7 linked regions of the Mus musculus genome follow. The protein of the gene in region 6 interacts with the protein of the main gene of each other region in a pairwise test. Links are inferred from orthologs where the notes say so. Each region holds a gene or a part of one and is shown on either strand. Other genes may lie near its edges. The genes, in order: Rbfox1, Ccdc33, Smap2, Car8, Bhlhe40, Maged1 and Rbfox2.

Evidence for each region.
Region 1: the proteins of Maged1 (region 6) and Rbfox1 interact in a two-hybrid assay, tested with the Homo sapiens proteins (2 studies listed by BioGRID and IntAct). The link is inferred for Mus musculus from reciprocal best matches to the Homo sapiens genes MAGED1 and RBFOX1.
Region 2: the proteins of Maged1 (region 6) and Ccdc33 interact in a two-hybrid assay, tested with the Homo sapiens proteins (2 studies listed by BioGRID and IntAct). The two-hybrid records come from large-scale screens. The link is inferred for Mus musculus from reciprocal best matches to the Homo sapiens genes MAGED1 and CCDC33.
Region 3: the proteins of Maged1 (region 6) and Smap2 interact in binary tests that used the Homo sapiens proteins (3 or more experiments, as listed by UniProt). The two-hybrid records come from large-scale screens. The link is inferred for Mus musculus from reciprocal best matches to the Homo sapiens genes MAGED1 and SMAP2.
Region 4: the proteins of Maged1 (region 6) and Car8 interact in binary tests that used the Homo sapiens proteins (3 or more experiments, as listed by UniProt). The two-hybrid records come from large-scale screens. The link is inferred for Mus musculus from reciprocal best matches to the Homo sapiens genes MAGED1 and CA8.
Region 5: the proteins of Maged1 (region 6) and Bhlhe40 interact in binary tests that used the Homo sapiens proteins (3 or more experiments, as listed by UniProt). The two-hybrid records come from large-scale screens. The link is inferred for Mus musculus from reciprocal best matches to the Homo sapiens genes MAGED1 and BHLHE40.
Region 7: the proteins of Maged1 (region 6) and Rbfox2 interact in binary tests that used the Homo sapiens proteins (3 or more experiments, as listed by UniProt). The two-hybrid records come from large-scale screens. The link is inferred for Mus musculus from reciprocal best matches to the Homo sapiens genes MAGED1 and RBFOX2.

The regions. Positions count from the first base shown.
Region 1 is NC_000082.6:7,068,665-7,072,634, reverse strand, and holds the start of Rbfox1 (RNA binding protein fox-1 homolog 1), read right to left. Parts: upstream 2,801-3,970; 5' UTR 2,637-2,800; coding exon 2,550-2,636; intron 1-2,549. UniProt on the Homo sapiens protein: RNA-binding protein that regulates alternative splicing events by binding to 5'-UGCAUGU-3' elements. Regulates alternative splicing of tissue-specific exons and of differentially spliced exons during erythropoiesis.
Region 2 is NC_000075.6:58,116,024-58,120,001, reverse strand, and holds the start of Ccdc33 (coiled-coil domain-containing protein 33), read left to right. Parts: upstream 1-1,178; 5' UTR 1,179-1,257; coding exon 1,258-1,567; intron 1,568-2,370; coding exon 2,371-2,699; intron 2,700-2,795; coding exon of another isoform or gene 2,796-2,798; coding exon 2,799-2,915; intron 2,916-3,978.
Region 3 is NC_000070.6:121,014,448-121,018,503, forward strand, and holds the start of Smap2 (stromal membrane-associated protein 2), read right to left. Parts: upstream 2,801-4,056; 5' UTR 2,405-2,800; coding exon 2,302-2,404; intron 1-2,301.
Region 4 is NC_000070.6:8,236,242-8,240,275, forward strand, and holds the start of Car8 (carbonic anhydrase-related protein), read right to left. Parts: upstream 2,801-4,034; 5' UTR 2,714-2,800; coding exon 2,611-2,713; intron 1,870-2,610; coding exon 1,678-1,869; intron 1-1,677. UniProt on the Homo sapiens protein: Does not have a carbonic anhydrase catalytic activity.
Region 5 is NC_000072.6:108,659,340-108,663,428, reverse strand, and holds the start of Bhlhe40 (class E basic helix-loop-helix protein 40), read right to left. Parts: upstream 2,801-4,089; 5' UTR 2,517-2,800; coding exon 2,437-2,516; intron 2,269-2,436; coding exon 2,199-2,268; intron 1,925-2,198; coding exon 1,817-1,924; intron 909-1,816; coding exon 785-908; intron 1-784. UniProt on the Homo sapiens protein: Transcriptional repressor involved in the regulation of the circadian rhythm by negatively regulating the activity of the clock genes and clock-controlled genes.
Region 6 is NC_000086.7:94,539,226-94,543,170, forward strand, and holds the start of Maged1 (melanoma-associated antigen D1), read right to left. Parts: upstream 2,801-3,945; 5' UTR 2,667-2,800; intron 2,100-2,666; 5' UTR 2,071-2,099; coding exon 2,026-2,070; intron 1,323-2,025; coding exon 630-1,322; intron 57-629; coding exon 1-56. UniProt on the Homo sapiens protein: Involved in the apoptotic response after nerve growth factor (NGF) binding in neuronal cells. Inhibits cell cycle progression, and facilitates NGFR-mediated apoptosis. May act as a regulator of the function of DLX family members.
Region 7 is NC_000081.6:77,132,554-77,136,053, forward strand, and holds part of Rbfox2 (RNA binding protein fox-1 homolog 2), read right to left. Parts: intron 389-3,500; coding exon 164-388; intron 1-163. UniProt on the Homo sapiens protein: RNA-binding protein that regulates alternative splicing events by binding to 5'-UGCAUGU-3' elements. Prevents binding of U2AF2 to the 3'-splice site.

The sequences.
Region 1 (3,970 bases), on a different chromosome or scaffold from region 6:
GTGACACTGGTTTTCCAGAGAAACAGAAAGTAGGAATGGAAATCCCATGTTAACTATGGGACTGACTTTAAAGAAGAGGCCATGAGAGGGACCTCACTAGACACGTAAGGACACATCTGTAGGTACTGACTGTAGCATGAGTCAGGTACTCTCTTAAAACTTAAAAAAAATGCAAATTATTTTTTCTTTAACTGCAGAAAAATTAAGCCACACTGGCCTGAATTTCAAAAGTGTCTCAGGCAGCAATTCAAAAAGGAACATCTTTGGCCACAGAACTGTTGGCTGTTGAGTTTAGAAAGACTGTGAAATTGTGAACAGCATCTCAAGCAGCTCGCCAGTGGCCCTTGCACATAACCATTCATGCTGTTCCCAACTATGCAGGCACAAGGGATCCTAGCAAAGATGAGTCCATAGTCCTCTTCATTTTCTTGTCTTGCTGGAATCACTAAGTTGCTAAAGAAATCTGAATCCTGGCAAAAGGGCCTTTATTCCTGACTCGGGGTGAAACTCCTCAAGCTAAGGGCCAAGGTAGCTAGGGCAGGAAGTGCAAGCTGAAAGGTAAAGAGGCACTAGAATTTCCTACCTATTCTATCATACCACATCCTTTCCTTAAGAACAAAACTGCAATGGGAGGGGGTTTAGTTTCTTTGAGCCTCCACAAAGCAGCAAGAAGGCTAGCACCTTCATGTGCACAGCCTTGCAGTGTGCTCTGTGTGGAGGAGAGGGGAAGGGTGCAGTGGGTCCCAGTAGCTCATCGGAGGCTCCTCACTGACACACACAGAAGGACTTGTAGGTCACTAGTTCAGAAGTTTCCTTTTGGGAAACAAATGAGAATGGATCAGGTTAACATTTGCAAGTAAAATAACTTGCTCCATTCCACACTAACCAGTTATGTTTCTTGAACATTTTGCCAAAGAGGAAGAAATAGTGCCTTCCCAGCTTTGCAGTTGGTTCTAGCGTCTTCTCATCTATCATTGGGGTAATACGTTCAGAGTGGCATTTTGTAATGACAGAAACATCCCAGCAAATCGATAGTTATTTAATTCCCAACAAGCTCTCGAGTCCATTAAACCTGATTACATTCACCCATTTCTGTGGGTGCCGTTATTCTCCTGCACCAGCACTTAATCTATAACAGGAACTTATGAGAACTTTCAAAAGCAATTTCAGCATCAATCAGCACGGACTGAAATGAGCGATTTGCTTGTAATTATTTATCGGATAGGGCAGCACAGGGGCCGACAAAACTCCAGCCTTTGACCTTCACCCCAAATTTCCAACAGAAGCCAAAAGCACTGTTACTCTGCTTCACCTTCAAGTCCTAAGTTTCATGTCACCATCTGGCCACAAGTTCCCTTCCTTGGTGCCAGGGCCATTCTCTGCTGGTCTATTTACCTATAACATAGAAGTGTAGCAATAGTATCCATACATCTAGGGTAATTGGCAGTTCTGATGCTATCGGGATTGACGTCTGGGTGCATTCTGCCACCCAGCTTCTGACAGTTAATAGAAGGTCACAGTCACAGTCACAGTCAAAGAATAAAAAGAATATTTGTTCAATCCTCCACAGAAGTCGTCATTAATGAATTAGAGTTTTGTAGAACTCTCAGAGAGGGCTGGGTGGGAGTGGGGCTACAGGAAAAAAAGCTAAAGTGTTGTACTGCATATATTTAATTTTCCTTTCCCATAGAAAGGAGATTTAGGATTTATTACTTAGGGTTGCTTATTTCTAAAGAACAGCAACAAATAGCCACTTGCTTCCTACAATGACCCACTTCTATCACAAGTGGATGTTGGCTTCCCAGAGAACTGCAGGCGTACACCCAGAAGCAGTGGGTTTGAGTGACAGCAAGGAGGTACAATAAGGCAAAGAAACAGGTCCAATTTCTCGCTAGCACACAAACCTCTCGGTACACAGAATAATAGCCTTAGCAGTCAAAACAACAGGCATCCTAACTTCTCCCCAGCTGCCGAGAATACAAACAGTTGGCATCGAATTTGCAGAATAACCTCTGAACTTCCTAGCGAGACCATTCTCAGTGTACCCTCTTGTTTGTGGGTCGCCTCTCAGATTTGCAAGGGGAAGCTTCTCTGCAAACAACAACCTGTGTGGGGTGTCCTCAGCAGCACTCTGTATTTCCTGCCCTTCTGTTTCCGGGGTTAAAGCCTTTAAGCAAGCCATATCATGATAAGTTACTGAGCCTCATGATCTGCTCTGGGAGACCCAGTCCCTCAGAAAGCTAGGGAAGAGAGCAAATCTTTTGCCCCCTGGTCAACCTCCCGAAGCAAAGGCATGAATGTTAAACAGCACCCAGATCAATACAAGCAAATACAGCTCAACTACACCATTTATTCATCCATGAGAGATGTCAATAGCCAGATTAAGGTGATCCATCTTTTTGATTTCCTACTGTCTTTCCTTTGACTACACGAGGGCTTTTTTTTCTCTTCCTGTATTAAAAGTGTTTGCTTTCTCAACCATAAAAATTCCAATTATTACTTAGAGCATTCTGGAGTTAAGTTGCTTGCTGGCAAAAGCCATGAATTACCTGCATCAGTCCCGGGAAGTAGGGGGCAGCAGGCACAATCATGGGCACGCCATAAGAATGCAGAAGGACTCCTTGCGACGCCAACATGCTTTAAATGGAGGCTTTATTCCCTCCAAGGCTGAACACATCAATAGAGAGTTAGAGGGGGAAAGAAATCTATAGACCCAACTTCTTCTCAACTACAAAGCCGAGAGCCAAATCACTTCTGTCAGGAGCCAAGTGCTCATCCACAGGCAGCGGAGAGGGAAAGGAAACAAAACCCTGCATCAGCAACTCTTAATGTGAAAGTTTTCTTCCCAGACAAGGAAGGGACGCGGCAGCTGCAGGGTCGGTCGGAGCTACCAAAATGGAAGGAGCTATTTTGGGAGCAGCTCGCCCAACATGACTAACCAAATACTCTTCATTAATTTAGTTCTCAGACCAAGGGAGATGGAGTGACAGGGAATCAGGCGAAAAGAGAAGGCATTTGTCCTGAGGAACTGGGCCAAATTGCAAGGGGCTGGGTCTGCATGAGATTTTTAGAGAGAATAAGTAATAGAAATGTGTAAGCTTACATGACAATCAGTTGCAACTTAAAGAACTTAAACATTTACCCACATAAAAATCATCACCAGAGCCTAGACTTCAGTTCTAAATTGCAACTGGTTGTTATGTGAGTTTGTATACTACCATATAAGCCTGAGGACTGGAATTTGGATCTCCAGTGCCTATGTAAGAAATCAGGCAATGTGTCACACATTCCTAGCACTGGGAAAACAGAGACAGGAGAATGCAGGGTCTCAACTGTCGAGCCAGCATAGCCAAACAGAAACTTCCATGTACAGTGGTTTAGTGGAAGACCCTCTCTCAAAGCGTAAGTAAAAAGCAATAAAGAAAGATACCTGGAGGTCACCCTTTGAACACAGCACATACATTTTCACACCTATACCCATTCCGCCACAGTTATGAACAAAACCAAAAACAACCAAACAAATAAGAACAACAACAACCATAACAACAACACTCAAATCTAGCAGGTTCATGTGGGTAGCTGATCAAAAATTATCTAAGAATACTCAGTATGTGGTGGATAGCCTCTATAATCCTAGAACTCAGAAAGTTGGTATAGAAAAATTGGGAGCTCAGCTGTATAGCAAACTTAAGGCCAGCCTGAGCTACATGAAACTGTCTCAAAACAGTGGGCTCACTTTCCACCCCTTCTTCACCCAATTTCAGTTTGAAAAGGCAATTCATGAGTAACAAAATAATAGCTGAAATCTGAGTAAATTAGCTTTGTGGGTTATTGAGCTCCATTCTTCCACATCTCGGATGCAGGGGCTAATTCCCAGACCCAGGAAGCAAAGTGGTACCCAACAGGAATCCAGACTCACACTAGGCAGCCACTTTGCAGCTAGTAGGAAGCAGTGTTGAGTTTAAACCGC
Region 2 (3,978 bases), on a different chromosome or scaffold from region 6:
GGTGGCGGCGTGGTGGTGATAGTAGTGGCAGCAGACTTAGTCTCTTTTGAATAGTGTCTAGGATCCTCTGATTTCCATTGAAACCCAGGACAAAGAAGCACAGACTCTAGACTGACAACCTAGCTTTGAGAGGCCAAGTTCTCTGTAAAGCTGTATGTCTTGTATAAGGTAAGCTGGTTGCAGAAGCAGACATGGACCATATATTCCCTTACCCTGGAGACCTCTCCCATATCCATACTAAGGACTCCCAGGTAGAGACAGGTTCCCCAGAAATGGAGAGTTCTGAATACCACATACTCATGTGCCCCCAATTTTCTATAGAATGTATGAAGTAGATCATCTCTTAGCACACTTGAGAATTTGGTTGTGTGTGTATGTGTTTGTGTGTGTGTGTGCATGCATGCATACATGCTGTGTGTATGGTTTAAGGATTTATATATGTTATGAGTACAAATGTGTGTACAAGTACACATGTGTATGTGTTTGTATCTGTGTGTATGTTTGTGTGTACAGGTACACATGTGTGCATGCTTGTGTGTGTGTGTTTGTGTGTACAGGTACACCTGTGTGCATGTTTATGTATGTGTGTTTGTGTGCACACATACACATGTGTGTGTTTGTATGTACAGGTACATGTGTGTGTGTGTGCATGTAGATACCAGAGGTCAACCTCAGATGTTATTCCTCAGGACTCTTACTTTTTTTAAGACAGGAACTTACTGATTCTCCTAGATGGACTTCCTGCCTGGGCCTTCCCAGGACTAAAATGATAAGCATAGCATACACAACCATTCCTAGTTTCCATGGGTCCTGGGAATCAAACTCAGGTTCTCATGCTTGTGCATCAAGTACATTACTGACCGAGTCCCAGCCCTGATCATTCATTTTCCATATTTCTTGTTTATCTTTGTCTTCTCTACCCATTACCTTCACTAGAAGACAGGCTTCAGGAGGGCAGGAATGTGTCTATTTCACTGCTATATTCAAAATGCCCAAGACAGCACCTCATATACAGTAGGTTCTCAATAAATATTTACTGAGAGATCAAATGCTAAATGGGAAGAATTAATTGATGCCTTTGTTCCCCAGTTCAGGCTCAGTTTCCTGGCTTGTTGCCTGGATCCTTCTCAAACAAACAGAGAAGGGTGAGGTGTGGCCCCAAGTGCCTAATCTGTCTTCTTTCCGACTGGACCCAGGATGGGACTGTGAGCAGGAGAGGGCAGGGCTCAGCCTGGAGTTCTGACCCTGGCTGAAGCCATGGCCTTTAGAGGTCCTGATCCCTACCTCCCTGCATCCCTGCTGAGCCAGCGACTGAAGGCTGGAGAGAAGACACTGGACCTGGAGTTTGAGATCTTGAGTGTGGGATTTAATGAGGAGGGCCGGTACGCCCTGAGGCTGTCAGCTGAAAACCCACTGCAGGCAGGCTCCAGTGCTGGGGTGCAGTTGCAAGTCAATGATGGGGACCCCCTTCCAGCCTGCTCAGCTGTCACTGAGGTCATTGAGCAGCAGGATCCTGGCCAGAGCCTCACCTTCACCAGGAACAAATTTATCTTCACTCTGCCCAAAGGTACAAAGTGAAGTCAAGGGTTGGGGGGGAAGCAGGATCTTTGGGACTTCTGCCCTAGAGCTGATCAGGACCCTGGGGGACTGCAAGGGACCTGGACAGCCAGAGGCAGAGCTCCAGCCTTAATTCTAAGCTCTGCCTGTGTGACTATGTGGCCTTGGGCAAACGCTGGTCCTGTAAGGTTCCTGCTTCCTTCAGCGTGGCATGGATGCTGAAACTGTTCTCATAGAGGGCAAAGGTGAAGAGGAACTAAAGGGGGATGTGAATTTGATAGAGACAAAGCCCACAGCATGTTTAGACCTAGGCAGTGAACGGTACATGGATGAAGTGATGCTAGAAGCCCCCTGAGTTCCTTCTGATTGTAGGGATAGAGACTGGACAGACATGAATGGATAGAAGATCCTGGTCTTACTTTCTGGGAGCTTCCAGACTGGGTACAAAGAGGCAGGAATTTTAAGTCAAAACTAGCTAAGTAATCTAGAAGATCCAGGCTTAGACAGAGGACTTACCAGACAACAGTCCTGGTGTATATCCCAGGCTAAGGTTAGCCAAACTCTTCCCTGGTGTCAGAACCCAGAACAATTCCATGGGCTATAGGCCTCCTCACTCTGGTGGGGTCACATGAGGCATAGGTAAACCAAAGGAGTCTTGAGTGAGGGCTGAGAGGAGTCAGCCACAAGGGAATTCTTAGCCGAGCTCACTTGGATTCAGTTCAAGTTGCCCCAGGGCCCTGGATGTCCTTCTCACCCCTTGGAGAAGGGAGGGAGATCCTAAAGACCACATTTAAAGCCATGTTCTCCACCCAGGGTTCTGTAAGAATGATGGGCAGAGTGATGCACATCTGCGTGTGGAGGCTCTGAGGCTGGATGGATCCTCAGGACAGGAGGCTCAGAGGGTAGGTGAGGCCATCTTCCCCATTTACCCACGACCAGATGAGCCCCGAATGAACCTCACAGCACAGGATCATGAAGACCTGTACCGCTATTGTGGCAACCTGGCTCTTCTCCGAGCCAGCGAGGACCCCACAGCCCGCCACTGTGGGGGCCTGGCTTACAGTGTGGCCTTCCATGTGCACAGGGACCCTAGGTCCTCTGTCTCAGACTGTCAACTGGAACCCAGCCAACCAGAGCTACAGGTAGGTGCTCCTGGGTCCCAGTTCAGGACACAGCCTTTGATGAAACTGGCTGTCTGCAGCCCTACAGTCCCCAACCTCAATCTCCTACGTTCTCAGCAGACTTCGAGGGAGGCCCTGAGTGACAAGATAGAAGAATCTTATATGAGCCCATTCAGCACTGACAGTGACCAGGAGGGGCTCAGCTGGGAAGCAGGACCCTGGCAGCATCCGGCTCAGGTGAGGGGCACCAGCCCTTCTGTGGGAGGGTTCCCTACTACGTTCTCTCTCATTTAGGCATCACATCCAATTGAGAACTCACAGAGCAAGCAGTAGTTCATTGCACAGATGGAGAAAACACACCTCAGGATTCTAGGTTCCACGAAATGTCAACAGTTACTGGAAACCTCAGGACATACATAGTAGCGTGTGGTACCCAATGCCAGGACAGCCACTAAGTATGGAATGTCACTAGAGCCAATACATTTGGATAAAATATTGGTATTACACACAGTCCTTGACACTGTCATGAAGGCTCTGAAAGGGGTCAGGGTGTAAGCCCAGGACAGGCTTTCTCAGAAGATGTGTCATTTTGAAAGGGCTCTTTGCTTCCTTCCTCACTCATTTACGGGCTCCTCCATCCTGTATTTGTCTTTCAGACTAGGTGAGTGAGGTTTACGGGTAGCAATTTGGAGAAGGTTCCATGGGTGAGGTCTAGTATAAGCTAGCAAAGAGAAGAAGGTGGCTCAGTCAGCGGGCAGCAGAGGGACGAGTTGAGATGGAGCTCAGAGCTTGCTCTCTCTCCCTCCCCCCTCTCCCTCTGCCTTCTCTCTCCCTCCACCCCCCTCTCCCTCTCTCTCTAGCTCCTCCCCGCCCACACACTTTTCTTGCCTGGCACTGAGTAGAGGCAGGGAGGGAAACTGAGTTAGGTCATGGAGAGGTTCAATAGGGAAAGAAGTGGGAGGAGCTGAAGCTATCCTGGCACCGAGCAGAGGGAGGTATTCAATTCTGGAGGCAAAAGGTGAGGTGTGGGAGGGGCCTGTAAGGACAGGATTGTATGCAAAGTAAGCAGGCAGCATGTGACAGGGACCCAGAAGCAATGCTCTCATCCAGGCCTCTAACATGGCCCACTCTGACCTTTGTCCATTCATTTCTCAATCAATGAACACACCTTTCTGACCTACTCCTGTGCTCAGCCCCAATCCGTTCTGGAGGCTAAGTGTATGGACGAGATGGACAGTCTAGGTGAGGCTGAAACTCCCTGTGCTCCTAGCCTGGGCCCAGCTCCTCTGTCTAATGCTAT
Region 3 (4,056 bases), on a different chromosome or scaffold from region 6:
ACATTACAAAAGTATCCACTTAGAGGTCTGTAGTCCAGGCAACATCAATACACTAAATACTAATAGATGAACTCTCCAGACCTTGTCTGGTGAGCTCTCAATTTTCTGAAAAGGACAAGAGGAAAACAGAAAAGTAAACTCAAACTCAAATCTTATTTCAGTGAACAGTCTTCTAACTCTTCCACCAACTGCTGGTCCTTTTTATCAGGGCTGAGCAGGTCATGATCTACTAATGCAAATATCTCTCTTTCCTACCCTCTGAGAACTGCCTACGAGTTCATCACAAAACCTGAAAGTGGAAAAGAGGAAGAGAATGAAGGAGGGGTTAACCGGCAGACAGGGCTGAACATTCGGCAGCTAGATAAACAGGCCTCTGCAAAAGCCTGTTTGACAGAACTGAAAGATAATGGACACGTGGGCATCTCTTTTTTTAATAGTGGCAAACGCGTTGAAGAGAATTTCTAACTTCAGAACATTCAGGATCCAAGGTTTTAGTATCAGTGGCAGACAGCTACTAGGCTTTGTTGTTGGTGTCGTCTGTTTTTACATCTTAATTATTAACTTTGTGGAGATTGTACATGTATGTACTAGAGTCCACGTGGAGGTCAGGAGACAATTTATGGGAGCTGGTTCTCTCCTCTTACCCTGTGAGTCCTGGGGATCAAACTCAGGTTGTCAGTCTTAGTGGCAAGCACCTTTATTCACTGAGCCCTATCGCAGGCCCCAGTTACTAGTTCTCATCAGGAATTAACGAAGTTCTATGTCTGATTATATCTAGTAAGGCTATTAATAAAGGGCAATGGGAGATTTGGAGGAAGACCTGGTAAATTAACGTGTCTCTTCCCCATGGTATATGTTATTGGGATGAGTAAGCATACAAACAACATGAGTACAGGGGAGGGGGCGGTTCTAAAAATCATCAACAATGGTTTCTGCTCAGTGGATGCCTCGCTGCGACTTAAAATTGTCAATGAGGACATCAGAGGATTTGAGTAGACCAAAGGTGCTCCTACACTGTAAACCAAACCTTCCAGTAGATCTAACAAGAATCAAGCTACAAGAAATTTCGACTCCTCAACATAAATTGAACTCCTGTTAACGCAAAAATTCTCGAGAGAAGTCTGGGGACCTGCTTTGCTGACAGTTCACTGCATTTGCCTACTGATAGAGGTCACTAAAATTTATTACTAGGAGTCTAAATCAATGCATCATCATTCTTGCGCCCTCCTTACATAACCTTACTCTAAAATAAACCATAATCACATGAAGTATGGGCTAAGTATCTATTGCTTTTCTCAACATTAATACACACACACATCTGAATGCTTTATACTACTTTATACCCATATGCTACATGGCAAATTCAGGAAATGAACTAAAGTAAATACCCCCTCCCAATTATAGCTGCTCCTACCTACAAAGCTGTACAGAATTCACTAGTAAATTTTCTACCATATTGACCTTTAATTGTAACACAGCATGAACCTTTACAGACACAGAAAACAAAGGCTAAGTGGTTGTGGCCAATTTCTATTTCCTCTCTAAAGGTGTAATCACCAGGGAAATAACGAATTGGGGGAATTCCTTGCTTCCTTTTCTCCCTGCTTGAACGGGTCCTGCACTACAGTCCAGGTCTGCTAGTTTCGCTCACCACACACGCATGAGGCCTCCACAACCCAGGCTAGACTACCTAGAAATCCGCACTGTGTCACTGCATAAGGTAGCTGTTTCTCAGTGCACACGACCTGGGTGAAGAAAGCCACCTAAGCACTCGGTCTGAGCTCAACAAGGTGGTAAAATGACAGGAGCTGCTAACGACATAGCAGACAGCAAGGAATGCCACCTTTAAATATCATTTCGACAGTTTTTCTCTTAGTCATCTCACCTTCCTCCTCGTCACCCCCACCGCCACCCCCACCACACTGCAGCTCACCCACAGCTTTGCCAAGTAAAAGGCTGCCAGCTCTGCATGACAGCGAGCCCAGAAGCCATTCAGAGTCTGCAACATAGACAGTCTCACCTGAACACACCGGGCAACCCCACCCCCCACTATATCATCCCCACTTCGCTGACACACACACACACACACACACACACACACACACACACACTCGCCCACACCAAACCCCAAGTCCCAAGCCCGAGGAAACCCAGCAAGCTCATGAGCGAGGGTGGCTCGCGTGGTCATACGAAGAGGACTCGCCCTGAGCTCCAGAACCCCCTCCCCACTCAGGCCATCGCAGCTCATCGCCACGCCGCCGCCCCGCAGCTGGCCCCCCGCCGGCGCCCCGGATGCGTTACCTTTGGACTGGCAGTCAGCACAGAACTTGTTATCTTCCTCCAGCAGCAGGTTGGCCAGGACCGCCTGGTACCGATCCACGTCCTTCACCGACTTGCCTGTCATGGCCAGGGTGCCGGCGGGGGCAGAGGGCGACGCGCCCCCTGCACCCCCCAAGAACCCCTGCCTCTGTCCGGGGCTGAGGCCTTGGGGTCCCCGCCCAGGCGGTCCTCTCGCCCGGCCCGGAGCAGCCCCGGGGTCAGAGCCGTCAGCGCCCCCGCCCCGCAGCCCCTCAGCCCCTCAGCGCGGCGCCCCCTGGCGGGCTTCGGGCAAGGCAGGGACTCGCGGAGGCTGCGGGACCCCAGAAGTGGCCTAGGTGGAGCGAGCTCCCGGCTTCAGGCGTGCGGGACGCACACTTGACCCCGAGTGTTGAGGGTCTGCCCGCTGTGCTTCCCGCCTCGGTTTCCCTGGCAGCTGCGACCAGCTCAGCCGCCACCTCCACCGCCTACTTCCGGCAGCTCTTCCTCTCCTCCTCCACCCAGCCCAACCCGCGCATGCGCCCCGCCCACCGCGCTGCACTGGGCTCTCCCCTTGGCTCCGCCTCCTAGGAACCAATCCGGGAAGAGCCGGGGGCGGGGCTTAGGTGGAAGCGGCGGGAGGGAGGACACGCCCCCTGCGTGCCCTTGGAAAAGAATGAATGAAGCCGGGTGGAGAGGGAGGAGAGTGAAGAGAATAAAGTGAAGGGAACGACCAACATTTACAGAGCTCATACTGTGTGCCATGTACTGCTCTAAGCGCTTTCTATCAATTATCACAGTATGCTCTTCACAGCAACCTTTATAAGATGTGTGTTTATTATCCTTATATAATACAAGGGTTGTGGCTATCCCAGACTCCTTTAGGTTAGTCTTTCCTTCAAGAGACAAAAGGACTCACCCTCTGACCCGAGTTAAAGAGACATTACACCCTCCCTCGTGATCACTTCTAACTTGGAATGCCTCCTGCCGCTGATATACATTAGTCTTCTCTGTGACTACTGCCCTTTTTGAGCATCGCTCTGACTAGTGTCTAGGCAGAACTTTTCTTTCCTTTAAAAAAAATTTTTTTTTGAACAGGTTCTTCCTAAGTAGCCCTTGGTGGCCTGGAACTTTATATTGTAGATTAGGATAGCCTCGAACTAACAGAGAACTGCCTCCAAAGTGCTGGGATTAAAGGTATGTGCCACCATACCTAGCCTCCTTTACTTGCGTGTGTGTGCATGCGTGCGTGTGTGAGTGCGTACGTGTGCGTGTGCGTGTGCGTGCGTGCGTGCGTGCGTGCGTGCGTGCGTGTGTGTGTGTGTGTGTGTGTGTGTGTGTGTGTGTGTAGGTGTCCAAGGAGGCCAGAAGAGGGCATTGCAGTACCTGAAGCTGGAGTTTCAGCTGATGGATGAGGGTGTGTGATGTGGGTGTTGGGGAAGGAACCAGGGTCCTATGAGAGATTACCAAACTCTCTCACCTGCTGAGCCATCTCTCAGGTTGTTTGGGGGAGAGCCAGTTATAGGGTAACATGGAATAAGCAGCTACTTAAAAATGGTTATTAGGTATTATTTTCCAAAGCCTCTCTTGTTACAAATAGTGTCTTGAACCCACGGCCATCTTCCTGTGTATGCATTCCGTCCCTTCACTCATCAAATTCTTAAAAGAGACTGAGAAAAAACAGGATGTGCTAAAGGGGAAGAGAACGCTACTTCCTGATATTTGCTCTTAAGGGATTCTTCTGAAGGCTAGAGTAATAGA
Region 4 (4,034 bases), on a different chromosome or scaffold from region 6:
TTTAAAGACAATTCCTTAGAGAAGCTGTAATAAACTAATTAAGAGATTTTTTTTTTCCAGTCACTTGCCTTCTTCTTCTTTTTTTTTTTTTTTTTTTTAGATAAGCTCTTACTGTGTAGCCATGGCTGAAACTCCCTATGTAGATCAGGTTAACCTGGAAGTCGAGAGACCCCACCTTCCTCTTCCTCTGCAGTGCTGGATTAAAAGGTGTGCACCGCCGTGCGCAGGACGTTTCTTGACACATTAAAAGGGAGAAATCACTGTAGTGACAGGAGAGGACTGGGCCCCTGAGGGAGGAAGGTCCAGAAAGAAGTAGAGAATGAAGTCTGGATCCAGCCTTGCAAGTCAGGACAAAACTACAGGCAGCAGTTCCTTCTGCTCGGGAGTGGAGGTCAGAGGAGGGGAGGGGCCAGGAATATATAAAGTATACAGAAGTATAGAATATGTAATGACCAGAGATAAACATCTCCAAAGCATTCTGATTTAAGCTCAAATCTAAGTTCACTGTGTGAGTGTGTGTGTGAATGTGTGTGTGTGAGTATGTGTTTGTGAGTGAGTGTGTGTGAGTGTGAATGTAAGTGTGTGAATGTGTGAATGTTTGTGAGTGTGTTTGTGTGTGTGTGAGTGTGTGTGAATGTGTGTGTGAATGTGTGTGAGTGTGTGTGAATGTAAGTGTGTGTGTGAATGTAAGTGTGTGTGTGAATGTGTGTGAGTGTGTGTGTGTGTTTACTAGCTCCATATAAAATACACACTGTTTTCAGGAGCTGTCCCCACCTCAATTAAACTACCAATAACTGCAAAGAATACAGGCTCTGCCTGGTGGATTTCGAATTGAAACTGTGAAACAAGATGAGGAATAAATATCTTCTTTGCCTAATGACAGACCTAATGGTTTCATGGTTTGAAATACCTAGCTGATCAATTTGGAATTAATGTAAGCACAGTCTGTTTGTAAAACACATCAACACTCAACACACTAATGTTACATTCCTTCCAGGAGGAAAAATAGTCATTATTCCCCATGAAAAACACAATCTTAGTGCTAATGTTTTTTAAATCTGTTTTTGTCTCTCCTACATTTAAGCTGGAAAGCAATTCTCCCAGAAATTGCATTTTCCACAAAACATTTCAGATTCATTTCGGCAAGGTTCAAGAAGAGTGAGTGAGTTAACAATAACCAAAAGCAAGCACTGAGTTGCCACTTAAATATCGGACTGCATTCAACATTAAAGTTATTCTTGTCATTGATAGAGAAGGGAACTTTAATTTGAAAAGTTTGAACACAGGTGATATCAATACATCCCAATCTTTGGTCTCACAAACTATTTTCAAAAGACATTATAATTAAATGATTTCAGCTAATCAGTAACTTAGAACAAAACGCACAGCAGAAAGACCCAATTCCGCAAGCCTGTGTGTGCACTCCTTCCTTCATAGCTCAGTAAATGTTTGTTTGAGCAAGAGGCAGCTCCAGGCACAGTTTTGGAAGAACAGCCAGCTGAGATAATCATCACTTCACCCTCTTAGCCCCTGAGAACTCTATTAGAAAATAATTCCCAGAAAAATGCAACTTATAAGGACCATGAAAATAGAAACTGTGTTGGTGTCGCCTTTAAAACCATACAAGTTAAATCAGAGCTTGCTTATAAAAGTGCAGAAACATGTGTTCCAAATTACCTGATTTTGACTTCAGGATGACTTGAATGGTGTGTCCATCGTTGGTGACTTCACAGTCCCGGCACACCACATAATTTGGAGACAGGCGGACATCCAGCAGTGAGGGGTCATACCTGGCTTCTCTGGAGTTTAGGTTGATAGGTGACTGGTACTCCCCATTAGCATCAGGAAACACTAAGCCCCACTCAACACCTGAAGACAAAATGAGACTAGGTTGGATTTTTTTAAGGTTAATGACAGTAAAATATAACACAAAAATCTCATAATCCTTAACATTATAGCTGTGACTATCATCTGTATGTAGATGAAATATAAGAAATGTGTGTGGGTTTTTACATTCATTACGTGAGTGATCTGTTGTTAAATATCACACACAAAATCCTCTACTGTCTGTGCATACAGACGCTTTGATGTAGGGATCTAAGAAACTTATGCCATCTTGAAGTGACTAGAAAAAAGATACCTCAGAAATTTCTTCTGCTCATCAGTTCAATTATGTGCAGTACTGGGAAATTTCCTCAAAGCCCCACATGCTCAGAGACAACAGAAAACCTGTAACGCTAATGAGCGCCACTTGTTTAAAATGCAAATACAGTGTCCCATACATATTAGTTCTTTTGCTCTTTTCTCCGTGTATACAGGAAACATGGGCGGGCACTAATGACTATTCGAAGCCCTGGATCTGCGAAGACAGATTTAGAAAACTCTTTTTAAAGTCCCCAAGATCCAGCCTGCAATTCGGGACGGTTTTTCTGAAGTGCGTTTGGTTATACTTCCCAAGACTAGAAAGCAACTCGGTTGCACGTCTGCTCCAGGCTGGGAGATGTGGCTGCCTGGGTGCAGCAGGTGCGAACAGCACTCAGGCAGCCACGGAGGGGCAAGTGGGGGACCGCGTGGGGCGTAGCAGCCGCGACAGCGGCCCCACGAGCCTACCTTCCTCGTAACCCCACTCCACGCCCTCCTCCTCCTCCTCTTCCTCGTCTTCCTCCTTCTCGGGGAAGGCGACTGCATCCTCAATGAAGCTCAGGTCAGCCATGGGCAGCTCTGCGACACGGGTGCGGGAGCGGCAGGCGCGGGGCTGGGGACCGCACTGAGCGTGGCAGTCCCCGCGAGCGCGAGAGGCAGCGGTCCGGCGCAGGCTTGCGCGTTTTAAGGTCGGTGGGGGCGTGTCTGACTCGAGGACACGCCCCCCGCCCTACACTCCCACCTACACCCCCTCTCACCCCACAATCGGGACAGGCAAGCCTGCGAAAATCAAACTGGGGCTGCAGCAACACGGGAAGCCTGCTGCACCCAAGTCCTAATACCCTTTCAAAAGCCTGGAGACTCCAAAATCCGCCCTGTCTCCCGTGCTCCCCTTGCTCCAAACAATTTTCCCAATGGAGTTGCCTTGCTTTGGGAACGGGATTGAGACCGGGAACCCAACAAGACTCCCTGGTCGAATGGTTTATTGGCCATCGTTTACCGGTCAATTTTGTTGGGGTTTGGTTTTGTGAGACTGGGTCTCAAGGAGACCAGGTTGGCTTCAAACTCCTCCCAGTGGAGAAGCGGATGACCTTGAACTGCACAGGGCTCGCTCCACTTTGCAAACACTGGGCTTGCAAGAATGCACCACCACCATGGGGCCAAGCGTGGTGGTGGCAGCTTATCTGAGCGAGTTTTACTTTTTAATCCGTCCTTAAAACACAGGGAAAATGAATATGGATTTTATTTTTCCCAAAATAAGTCCAACAAACATTTCACGAAAAATAATTTAGCAACTAGACATAGGTATAGTTTGAGAAATTTTTACTAAATATATTTCAAAGACAATGAAATGGGGTGTTTGGTTCCACTTTCTAAGTCTGGGGTGCTGCTGCAGGCTCACCTTGCTGTGGACACCGCTCCCAAGCGCCTCGTGAAGTCGCGCAAATAATGAAATGCACACACATTACGAAACAAACAGGAACTTTCCCCGATCCAAAGAGGTCAAGTCGTTACCCCTGAAGCGTGTGTCCCAACCTCAGGCTAATGCTTCATCCTGGTGTTCCAGCCCTGTTCAGTAACCCCTAAGCTCCTTTCCTCCACGATAGCAGATATATTTGCATAGTAAGTTAGTACTCAGGCCTGCAGTATGCTTTGCCTTTTACATAGCCCATGCACACTCCACAGTGTCTGTGAGATTAATGGATGCATCGAGTTCCTCAAACAGGGCGGGGGTGATTGATTAGCTGGGAAATTTTAAGGTGCCGGGTTGCTATCCTTTACTGCCTGTTGGGGCCTTAACTTAAAAAATAAATATCGTATCACGTCTTCAGGAAGTGGATGGAGGCTAAGGAGAAAAACATCAGTTGACCTACTCCTCCACTGTCTGAAGA
Region 5 (4,089 bases), on a different chromosome or scaffold from region 6:
TATACTGTAGCTCACACACACACACACACACACACACCCCGAGATCAGTCCTGATCAACTTTCTATTTTTAGAAAGAAAACTGGCAGACATACTGGCTTGGTTTGGTTTCTGTGATTCTCATTCTAGCCTTGGACAGGACTGAAGAACGCCTATTGGGGTACATATTAGGATTCCCCCTGGTCTGTACCCCGATTCTCTGAAACTCAGGATAAATGAATGATGAAAGCAGTGGTTTCGTTGGATTGTGCAATTTGCCAAGATACCTGGTGGCTATTCAGGGAACCACAATGGAAGGCAGGCAAGAGGAAAAAAAAAAAAAAGAAAAAAGAAAACCTGCTGTCATCCTGCCAAGACTGCACCCCACATCCAAAGAGAAGGAAGCAAAGAAACAGGAAAACACTGGGGGCAGACCCGTGTTCTGTTCGCCCATGAATGAGGGCTCATCAGACCAACTGTAAAAACACCCACAATGCAAATTATAGGTGCCTTGGCATTTTAAAGGGGGATGGGGAAGTCTCCCATAACCTAGACACTCTCAAAATGTCACCGAAACATTTCATCACTGGGCTAACATGGACTCATTTCAGGTGGCGCACAGCAGCATTCCGTATGGCAAAATATGACCTTTTAGGAAAGAATCAGAAGAGCATCTCCCCCCCCCCCACCCCTGCCCAGTGACTGTGAAAAATGAATGGTAACAGAAGAGTCAGAAGCCAGAGCGAGCTCCCAGGGGCTAGATTGGCACTGAGCTCTCAGGAGACACTAATCAGGCCGGGGACTCACCAGCTTGTAAACCGCTCTGCAGGGCAATGATTTTCTGCTGCTGCTGATCAATTAGATTTGTCAATGCTTTCACGTGCTTCAACGTAAGCTCCAGAACCACTGCTTTTTCCAAGTGACCCAAAGTCTGAAGAAGAAGAAAAAAACGGAGAGTCTGTCACCCGTGAGGTCAGTGGAGTCCCTTCTGACACTATCTGTTAGGAGAATTGGGTGTCAACAACAACAAAGATAGGAAGAGTCTTTCCTGCTCCACTAAATTTAAAGTTTGCAGATGTTTTAACATATACACATAGATGATCAAAAGCTTAAAAAAAAAAAAAAGCCAGACACGTGTTGTCTATCTTTGGAGGCATTTTGGTAGTTGTTACAGTCTAGGGAGTGAGCTGACAGATATATTTCTCCAGCAGCTGCCCTGACCTTAACTTAGGGGACTCCGGGGATAACATTTATCTGCTGTGGTGTCAACCCAGGGAGGGATGTCTACTGTGTCTGGCAACCAAGTGGCTTTCCCAATGTGTTGCGTTTCTTTCTTTCTTTCTTTCCCCCCTGACACTTGTTCAGAACTTCCAGTCATGCTGGCTTTTTGTCTTCCTTTCCAAATACTTTTCCCGAAGGAAAAGCTAAAAAGCTTTTGGCTACCAGTAAAGATTATGACGAAAAAAAAAAAAGGCACACATTAAATAAAGTAGGTCCTATTGTAAATGAAAAGCGGACAAGGCTTAAGTTTTTAATTTCGTGGTTTGCTTCTTTAAGTCAGGGAGACTACAAGGTGGTGAGAGAGAGAAAAAAAAACTACCAAAAGGAAGCTGTGTTAGTGTTGAAGCCAACTTAAAGAGGCCCCAGATGGTTCTGGTTCTGCCTCTGCTTAGGAAGTTCTGGGTCTGGGGATGGGTTCCCTCCAAACCAGAAGCTTTGATCCGCCCGTCTAGCATGCAGTTCCCCGTGACGCCTGCAGGCGGCGAGAGACACCCCCACCCCACCATCCGCCCTCTGGGCAGAAGAACTGGGTTGGAGCGCAGCCAGCTTCTCACTTACAGTAAGTTTGAGATGTTCGGGTAGGAGATCCTTCAGCTGGGCAATGCACTCGTTAATCCGGTCACGTCTCTTTTTCTCAATCAGCCGGTGCGGCAGTTTGTAAGTTTCCTGCATGGAATACATGGAAGCAATGGGTGCCCGGGGAAGGGAACGAAGCTTCCTCCCTTCCTTCCCAACCGGTAGCAGGGGGGAAAAATTCTGCGAGGGCGCAGAGACGCACCCAGATTCACCTTCTCTGCCCCTTCTTTCCCAAGTCACTCATTTGTGGCAATGAGCTCATCTCATCTTGAACCCCCCAGCCAACCTTGAAACAAGCAAACTTTTCTTGGAAACTCAGCGCACACGAGGGGCTAAGGAATGAGGTTCCCAGGGATGCACCTACCTTGCTGTCTTCGCTCCGTTTTATTCCCCGCCTGGACTTGTACACTTGGTACATGTGGGCAAAATCCATCCTGCAGGGAGAGAGGTCAGAAAAAGCCGTGACTCCCGAGTGCGTACTAGCTGCAGGAGCCCTAGACGTGAAAGAAGCCCCCTATACTCTCAGAGATGCCCCAAGTTGAGAGTGTCGCGGAACACAAGGTTAGGAGTGGAGACTTGAAGGGATCACAGCACACACTTACCCTGACAGGTCTCCGTGCTCCAGCCCTGGAGCTTTGGGCAGGCAGGTAGGAGGTGGTTGCGCGCTGGGGATCCGTTCCATGATGCGGCGAGCAGGGGCCACTGTGCGCTCCTGTCTGCACTTAGTAGAGTCTGAGAAAGGGCTGCCCTGGAAGGGAGGATCCGAGGGTCTCAAGAGGTATGTTCCTATGAGCTAGCCTGAGCTTCCTTGCAATGCGCTGGGATGCCAGGAGCAGCGGCTTTGAGGTGTCGCTTCAGTTGGGGGCGTGCATGGCCGGGTGTCCCCACGGCTTCTGGCTCCCGCTCTGCACACAGACTGGCGGTGTGTGCTCGCTGCGCTGTCTGCGCCGTGCGAGCCAAGTGAATGAGAAGTGGGGCGGGCGGAGAGGCGGGAGGGAAGGGGGGGTTGCTCAGGGCGGAGCGGGCGGGGCGGGGGGGGGGGAGTTGCTGGAGGGGACGAGCCGAGGAGTAAGGAGAGGCTGCGGGCTGGGTTAAATGGGAGCGAGTGGGTGGGTAGAAGCTACGTGTTCTACCCTGTGACTCCAAGCACGTCTGGCCGCTGCCGGGGAGGGAAGGAGCGACCTGCCCGCCCTCCCCCGGCTTCATCACATGAGCCTCACGTGTTGGACAACGCTCTGGCGGCTGCGAAGTGCCCCCCCCCCCTCCAAACCTCGGGCCCCCAGGTGTCTGCGGCTGCGGCCTCCTTTCCCCGAAAGAGGGGGTGGCAGCGCAGCCAGAGTCCTGCCCAGCTGGGTGGGGGGCACGGAAGCTGGAAGGAACCGGGGAGCTGGAGGGGGGGGGGGAAGAGTTGGTAACGTGGGCGAACCTGCCCCAGGGAAATGAAGTAAGTTCCCGTCTCCTGGGAGGGAACGGGGGAGGACGGATTCCGCCCGCGTCTGACTCAAGCCGGGAGAGGAATATCCCCTTGGTCGCTCCAGCCCAGCCTTCTTCCTCCTCCCCCGCCTGGCCCGCTCCTAGGAACCGGTGCGCAGCTGAGGGAGTCGTCGGCCCCCCTTAGCCTTCTCCAGAGGCTGGGGTTTCTTTCCGTCCTGGCTTCCCAGCCCCCCCCCCCCCCCCCCCCCCAGCGCTCAGCCTCAGTGTCCAGGAATTGCCCGCCTTGGGGAGGGACCGAGGGCGGGGCGGATGTCACCCCATGGGAAGCGGGCTGGTGGCCAGGAGCTAGGGCAGCCGAGGCCGCCGCCGAGCACGCCGCGCGCACCTGACCGTGGACCGTGTGAGCCGTGCCGACCCCCTCCCCCCACCCCCACCCCGGACTCTCCCGGGAGCTCAGGTCCCAGGCGCAGCCTGCGGGTGGCCTGGCACCCGACTGGCGCGCACCCATCTCCTCCCGCCTTTCAGGGTGCCTCACTGCCCCCACCCACCCTGGCTAGTCAAGCACAGAAAGATACCGGGCACAGTGCCCGGCGTTCCCTCCCTCCTCTGCCCCCTCCGATGCAGAGGCGTCCGGGTCGCCTCCCCTCCGGCTGCAGCGTTACACAACCGCGGCGACGGCGCCTGCCCTGCAGCAGCGCGGGGCGTGACGCTTCACGTGGCCCGGACGCGGGCCGGAGCTCGGCTCACTTGCAAGCCTCTCCGCGCTGGCTTCCAAGCCTAGACCCCCGCGCACCGGGCTGCAAGGGATCTGCATGGGATCC
Region 6 (3,945 bases):
AGTGAGGCACGCCTTTGATCCCCACTGTTGTTCTCTTCCACATTCAAGTTATTAACCTGTATAATTAGAGAGAAGAAAATTTCAGGGTCACTATTAATCCTGGGTCCTCCCAGTTGCTATCTTAGGAAGTACCTAGGAATCTTCACCTACACCTCACTAGCCACTGGTCACTTTGATTCTCTTTGTCTTTCAGACAGGCGTTTCATCTCCAAACCAGACAAAGGAAAAAACAAACAAACAAACAGAAAGTGGGACCTAGATTTCTCCTTTTCCTGTGTGACTACGGACAGTGCTTGGTTTCACCCTGAACTCGTTTCTTCCTGACTCTGTTCTCTCTAGAGAGTGAGGTACATCTTCAAGATCTAATTGATTCTGTGTGAGCCTGCCTAGCTTAAGACATGGTGTTTAATGTCAAAATGTAAGATGGCCTACACACATATTGCCTGTGTCCTTGTATCAACTCATCATCAGCCTGTGGACAACCTGGGCTCAGGAATAATAGTTACCTTAGCACCCCCTACAACTGTGCCAAAATACAGATAAATCCATGCCCTTTATTGTGTTTGGAGCCAAGGAAATTGGAAGAAAGGAGAGAGCCCAAAGCAAAGGGAAGCTAGCTGGGATCTCACCTTGCGGGTCCTCTTGCCCCGAATTATAGTCCGGGACTCCACGTTCTGAGTCTGGGAGCCATCTGCTGATGTCTGGGCTGCTGCACCATCAGCTTCAGAGATACCTGCGCTGGTCCCTACGTCAGCCATTTTGGCCTGATTTACATTCTGGGTCTGGGCATCAGCTCCAGGGACCTTAGTAGTGTCATTCCAAGCCTTAGCTGTCTTAGGCTGGTTGTTGGTCATCTCATTGGCACTGGGAGACTGAGGGAAATTGTAGGTGGTACCGGGGCCAGCCTTAGTGCTATTCTGACCCTTAAAGGCCATTTCAGACTTTTTAGCTGATTTGCCTGTGGGTGCTGCCTGGGAAAAGTCAGAGGCAGCATGTGGACCTTTAGGGGTGCCATTCTGTGACTTAAAGGCCGCCTTAGACTGATTCTTGGGCATCTCCTTGGCATTACGTGCCTGAGAGTAATCATTTGGCCCCTTTGTGGTGGCATTCTGGGCCTTAAAGCCTGTCTTAGGCCTGGCAGCAGCTGCTGAAACCTCAGTATCAGCCTTCTCATTGGCAGTTGGGGGCTGTGAACTCTGGGGACTAGCATTTGGCCCACTGGCAGCTGCTGTGGCCTGGCTGGTGGGCGGAGCCTCGGAGATCTGGATGGCTTCCATCAAGGTCTGCACAAGCAAGGCGCTGTCTTCAACAGAGGCCTCAGCCTGCAAACACAGGAGGGGCAACATTTCAATCTCTGAGCCTTACATGGCAGACCAGAGGAGGGGGGGGGCGCGGCGCAACGCAGCAGGGGAGCTGTAGACAGGCGTCACAGTACTCAGACGTGGGGGCAGAGGCGGGTCAAAGGGAGGCGGGGCGCGAACAAAATTTAATTAAGGGTAGAGGGGGCAGGGCAAGGTGAGGGACAGTCTGTGGCAGCAGGGGCTGGTGCGGAATGTGGTGCAAGCTCTGAGCCCCAAATGGGTTTAGAGACGGACTGGTTAGGCTTGAGGTGGGGAGCTCAAGACCCGAGGAGGGAGGAATCAAGGAGGATAAGCCGAGAGGGTGGAGGGGGAGTCTCGCGGCGTGGAGAAAGGGAGGGTGGAGGCGAGAGGTTGGGGGATGGGGCGACAGACTGCTCTACACGCGTCAGGGTTATGGAAAAAAAATGGTTCCTTACCCAACCCGCATTCTCTGGGCAGAATGCCCTGACTAACAGGGTCTCCCCTTTCTCTAAGCAGGGACCGATGGCTGAAAAGGGCCGCCCCTCCCCCCCATTCGATAAACGCTAGAAATCTGAGAGCCCGCGGTGTCTAGGCCGGAAGAAGGGCAAAATCAGATCCTGCCATTCGCGCGACCTAAGGGGCCGGGGGTGGGCGTAAACTGTCAGCAGGGGAAAAATGGGGGAATTGGGAGCGGGGTCCTCACCTGGAAGCCGCGGAGGCCTGCACCGCCGTCCGGTTTCTGAGCCATAGCTCTCGTCTCCCTGGCAAGAGCAGAGCCTAAGGGGGGGGGTGTGGGAGAGAGGAGCTGGGCATTACACTACAGAAGGAAAAGACATAGGACCGAATTCTGTGTGCGTGTGTGCTTTGATTCTGGGGGCGGGTGAGGTGCCGAGTCCGGGGGGAGAACCAGGCCTAAGCGGAGCGGGAAAAGTAACCGGTCGTCCCGCTAGACCATCTCCAATCTCAGACGCGGCCAGGGAAAAGCTTCAGCGCTGCCGTTTTGGAGTCAGAGAGGAGCTGTGGATGCGGTAGTTTACGGGGGCGGGGAGGGAGGGCGGCGAGCGGGGAGACACGGGCGTCCGAAAAGTTGAATTAAGGTTCTGAATTCAGAGGAACCATCTAACGGGATCAAGGTCGGGAAATAGGATTCGGGGAGGGAACTGGAGAAAAGATTCAGGGGGACGGACGGAGTTTCAAATTAGAAAAGGGTCGGGAGCAGGGTCTGAATCCGGGAGCAGGCAGAGCAGGGGGCTTCCGAATCCAGGGTGAAGGGACTGGGAGAAAAGAATGGCGGAAGGACGCCGCGCCAGGGGGGCAGATGCCCCGTCTGGGGGCGAACCTCACCTTGCCTCAGGGCCGAACCCCAATCCCTTCGCTGTTTCCTTCTTCGCGACTCAAGAGGATCGGGAATGGCTCTGTCCGGCTCTCGGCACCCGCACTCTCTCCGCGTCCAGGAGAAAATGCCAGCGCGGCAGCTCGGGCGACCCCGCCTCTCCGCCTAATATACCACCCACCGCCTCTGGACGCGCCGCGCATGCGCAGCAGATCACTGTCCAAATAAGAGTCCCGCTTGCTTTCCCAACAAAAGCTTCATCCCAGAGCCATTGTTGCGCATGTGCACTTGGAGGAGAGCCCGCCTCCTTGCCAGCACACTATCCCACCGCCAACCAGGTTGACAGTGGACAAAGGTTCCTCCTCCCCTTCTCCTTACGCATCCACTCCTTCAACAGATGCGCAGCGCCTTTCGGTCCCACCCCCTGGCCCGACACACCAGCCCCCTACCTTTCTCCGCAATGCGTCTATGCTCAGTCCCGCCCTTTTTCCCGAACTCTCTCTAGCCAGGTCCGCAGCTCCCGCCCACCCCCGTGTGCAGAGCCCCGTAGGTAGGCCCCCCGCGGGGGTCTCTTATTTCGAAACATGCTAGGCCTCTGCTGAGTTCACCCACTCTACGACGCAGAAACCTTAAAGGCCAGAAAAAAAAAAAAAACCATTGCAGAGATACCGGAGCAAGGGTCGCCCGGGGGGGGGGGGGATCTATAGGTTTCCTCTCACTGGACTCAGAAAATGAGCTTTTTCTCTCGCCCTTTTGGCAGTTTTTGCCCATCGAAACCCTTTTTGAGGGCTGGGTTAGAGAGGTGAGGGAAAGGCGTTGGGCTGTGGGGTCTGCCCTGGGGCTTGTTTTTCTTGCAGGCTGTTTTAGGGAGATGGATGGAGTGCAACATTCTCATTTAACACACCAGGTAGCTAATGCAGAAGCCCGGGGCATTGAGCTGGTACCACACAGAAAGGCCAGAACCTGCCCCAGCACCGCTGCGCAGGCTGGTAATCCCAGCACTCTGGGGACTCAGGGAAAGCCCTGAGTTCCAGGCCAGCTGTGCAACTCTGAGACTTGATCTAAAAGACAAACAAAACCATCCATGAGGGGCCTGGATTTTCCTGAGTGTAAAATCTAGTCTGAGAACAGGGGCACTCCTTCAACCTCTATTGGAATAACAAGCTGTCCTCTCCCCAATATTTGTTCCATGGGAATAAGGCTTGTGTTCTAGGAGGCCTGGCATGTGTGGGGACCCTTTAGGTTCGTTCTGTGCTCCTCTTAGTAGGCAGTCTCCAGGAGCGAGACCGC
Region 7 (3,500 bases), on a different chromosome or scaffold from region 6:
TAGTTCAAGCTCCCCACTGTCCAGCCACAAGGCTTAGGAAAGAACAGTCAGTACATGCATGCTGGGCAGTGAGTAGAAATGCTAAACTAACTCAAAGCGCTTTCTTTCCGAGAAGGTAAAAATTTCACACGTCCTTCTACCTTGCATCTCCGACTTCACATACCGTGAGAGATCCATTCTGGTTGCTGGGTGAATTGCTACTCTGTTCTCCATGAGGCTGCGTACTCCCGTAGAGGGTCAGGTTATGTTCACTGGTCTGGCCGGCATAGTCCTGAGTGTGTGGCACTCCATATTCTGTGGGAATTCCATTTTGTGGAGGTGGTGGGAACGGGATGGTAGTAAAAGGCTGAACCATTGCGTCAGGAGTTGTTGTTGGCTCCTGGTTACCCTAGAGCAAGCAACAGAAAAGAAAGAGGAGTGAGTGAATAAATCTTTATCACACAGGACTCTTAGCATGTTCTCTCACTATCCCCCGCTCAGGAAGAAACTGCTAGGATCATCAGATAACTTCATTCTTTAAAAAATATCAACTGATAAAACTTAATTTTATGTGTGCTTTGCCTGTGAGCATTATGGTATGGTGTGGAGTTAGGACAACTTGATTCTACATCCTCCTTCAACATGAGTCCCTGGGATCAAACTCAGATTTGGTGATAAGTACCTTTCTTTACCTGATGAGCCATCTTGATAGCCAAGAGCTTAATATTTGATCATCTCTTCCAAATCATTTGGTGCTCTGCCTGTACCCATAGTTGGTGGCAGAATATACTGCTTCCAAGGTCAAGACTGATTAGCATTTAAACAGGTGTGCAACAGACAAAAATTCAAACTAAGGTAGACTAATAGATGAGCAGAGCCTAAGGATTGCCTTTCAGAAATCTTCAGAAAGGGTCTATTAAGAAACATATGAAGCTTTAAAGACACAGTTTCCAAGTTTAGATTAGGACCAAGGAACTTGCCTCTGTCTCTGACGCTGCTCTTCTTGAACTCTAACCGCCATTCTCCACCCCATCCCTGATGGGAGTGAGACTGTGGTCCACAAGCAAACAGCATCAATCATCCCACAGGGCCATTTCTGCCAGAGCTGGCCCAGTCAACTGAACAAACACATCAACTAGTGGTGGGGATTGGGAGCAGGAAATGCTTCTAGGGTATACCCATAGTCTAGGCACAGCGAGATGTAACCACGGTAGGACTGTCGCCCATAAGAGGGTGCAATCCTCCATCAGGGAACAGGGCTCCTGTTGACTTAGGGAAATGTGACTGATAGCAACACTTACACAGCTGTCTATATGCTAAGACAACAGACCTGGCCGGACAGTGGTGGTGCACACCTTTAATCCCAGCACTTGGGAGGCAGGGACAGTCTGATTTCTGAGTTCAAGGCCAGCCTGGTCTACAAAGTGAGTTCCAGGGCTACACAGAGAAACCCTACCTCAAAAAATCAAAAATCAAAAACCAAAACCAAAACCAAAACCAAACCAAAAAGACAACAGACCTGGAGTAATGCTTTATGTTTTATAGCAATCACTCTACCACATATATTATGGCTATTGTTTTTATTAGAAATATGAAGTCATTTAACATTCTTAATAAAAATAATATAAGAATGTTTTCTAATCAATTTTCAGTTCACATTTCAAAGTTTTAAGTTGAAAGGGAAATACAACAGCTCCCAGCCAACTTATGACAGTTGATAGGATTGCTTCTACATCATGAAATGCTTTTAAAATATTTGTATTATTTTTAAAATGTATGTGTATGTATATATCTGTATATGTCCTTACAGAAGCCAGAAGAGGGCGCCAGACATTCAGGAGCTGAAGTTACAGGTGGTTGTGAGCTGCTTGATATGGGTGCTGGGAACTCCCTTCAGATTCTCTGGGAGACCAATGCCCTACACTTCTTTCTATTGCTGGGACCAAAACCAACTCAGGGGAGAAAAGAGTTCATTTCACTTTGCAGTTCATAGTCTGTCATGGAGGCAAGACAGAGCACCGGACTTAATCAAGTGGTAAAGAATATTCTTGACATCAACCTTGGACTTCCACATGAATGTGCACGCATATCCACGTGCACCCACTACATAAGAGCACACAGACGCAGGCAGGCAAGCAGGCGTTCACACACGAGCGTGTGCACGCACCCACCCACCCACACAGACACACACAGACACACCCAGGCACACAGCTCTAAAAGCAATTTTGTTTGTAGGGCTTAAGAAATGGCTCATCAGTTAAACGCAGGTAAGGACCTAGAGGCAGGAACTGATAGAGGAGCATTACTTACTGGCTCGCTCCTCATTGCTTGTTTGGCCTGCTTTCTTGTACAACCCAGGGCCACCTACCCAGGGTGTCACCACGCACAGTGATTAATCAAAAAAAAAAAAAAAAAAAAAAAAAAAAGGCCTATAGTCATGTTTCCAGGTCAGTTTGAGAGAGGCAATTCCTCAACTGATACCTCTTCCCATAGAACTCTAGTTTGTGTCAATCTGACAAGGAACAACCAGCAAGTATTCGTTACACACCTCCGGCCCCTATGCTTTATATTCTAGGCTAGGCAGCTAAGCACATAACACCTGGAAAGGTGAATTATTACCATCTTTCTAGGATGAAGTCCATGCAATGTAGAAAGAGAAGGTATTTTTATTGTTGTCTTCCCATTCCTTTCTCAACTTCATTCTAATTTTTCCATTTGGTAATCTTGACTCCAATTTACAGGCATAACCTAAACAGCAGCCTGCAAATTCTAAAGGCAGCCCATTCAGACAGTCTCTCAATCACAAAAAGAAGTACTTGAAAGAATATTCCCCAGTTTAACTAGGATGCCAAAAATATTTCTGCTTTTAAGCATTTTACAAGCGTCATTTTTATTCCCTGGGAGCTTAGGTAGGCTCAGATTTCAAACTTGGCCTGCCTTTCTAAAACCAACCAGTCACTGGGAAGATGGTTCAGTTGTTGAAGTACTTGGAGCTGGGCAGGCAGAGGCAGGAGGATCCCTGGAATTGCTGGCCAGCCAGTCTTGCCAAAAGGTGAGCTACAGGTTTGTACTGGCTAGTTTTGTGTGTCAATTTGACACAGGCTGGAGTTATCACAAAGAAAGGAGCTTCACTTGGGGAAATGCCTCCATGAGATCCAGCTGTAAGGCATTTTCTCAATTAGTGATCAAGGGGGGAGGTCCCCTTGTGGGTAGTGCCATCTCTGGGCTGGTAGTCTTGGTTCTATAAGAGATCAGGCTGAGCAAGCCAGGGGAGGCAAACCAGTAAAGAACATCCCTCCATGGCCTCTGCAACAGCTCCTGCTTCCTGACCTGTTTGAGTTCCAGTCCTGACTTCCTTTGGTGATGAACAGCAATGTGGAAGTGTAAGCTGAGGAAACCCTTTCCTCCTCAAGTGCTTCTTGGCCATGATGTTTGTGCAGGACTAGAAACCCTGACTAAGACAAGGTTCCATTAGAGATCCTGTCTCGAAACTAAGGTGGAAAGCAACTGAAGAAGACATT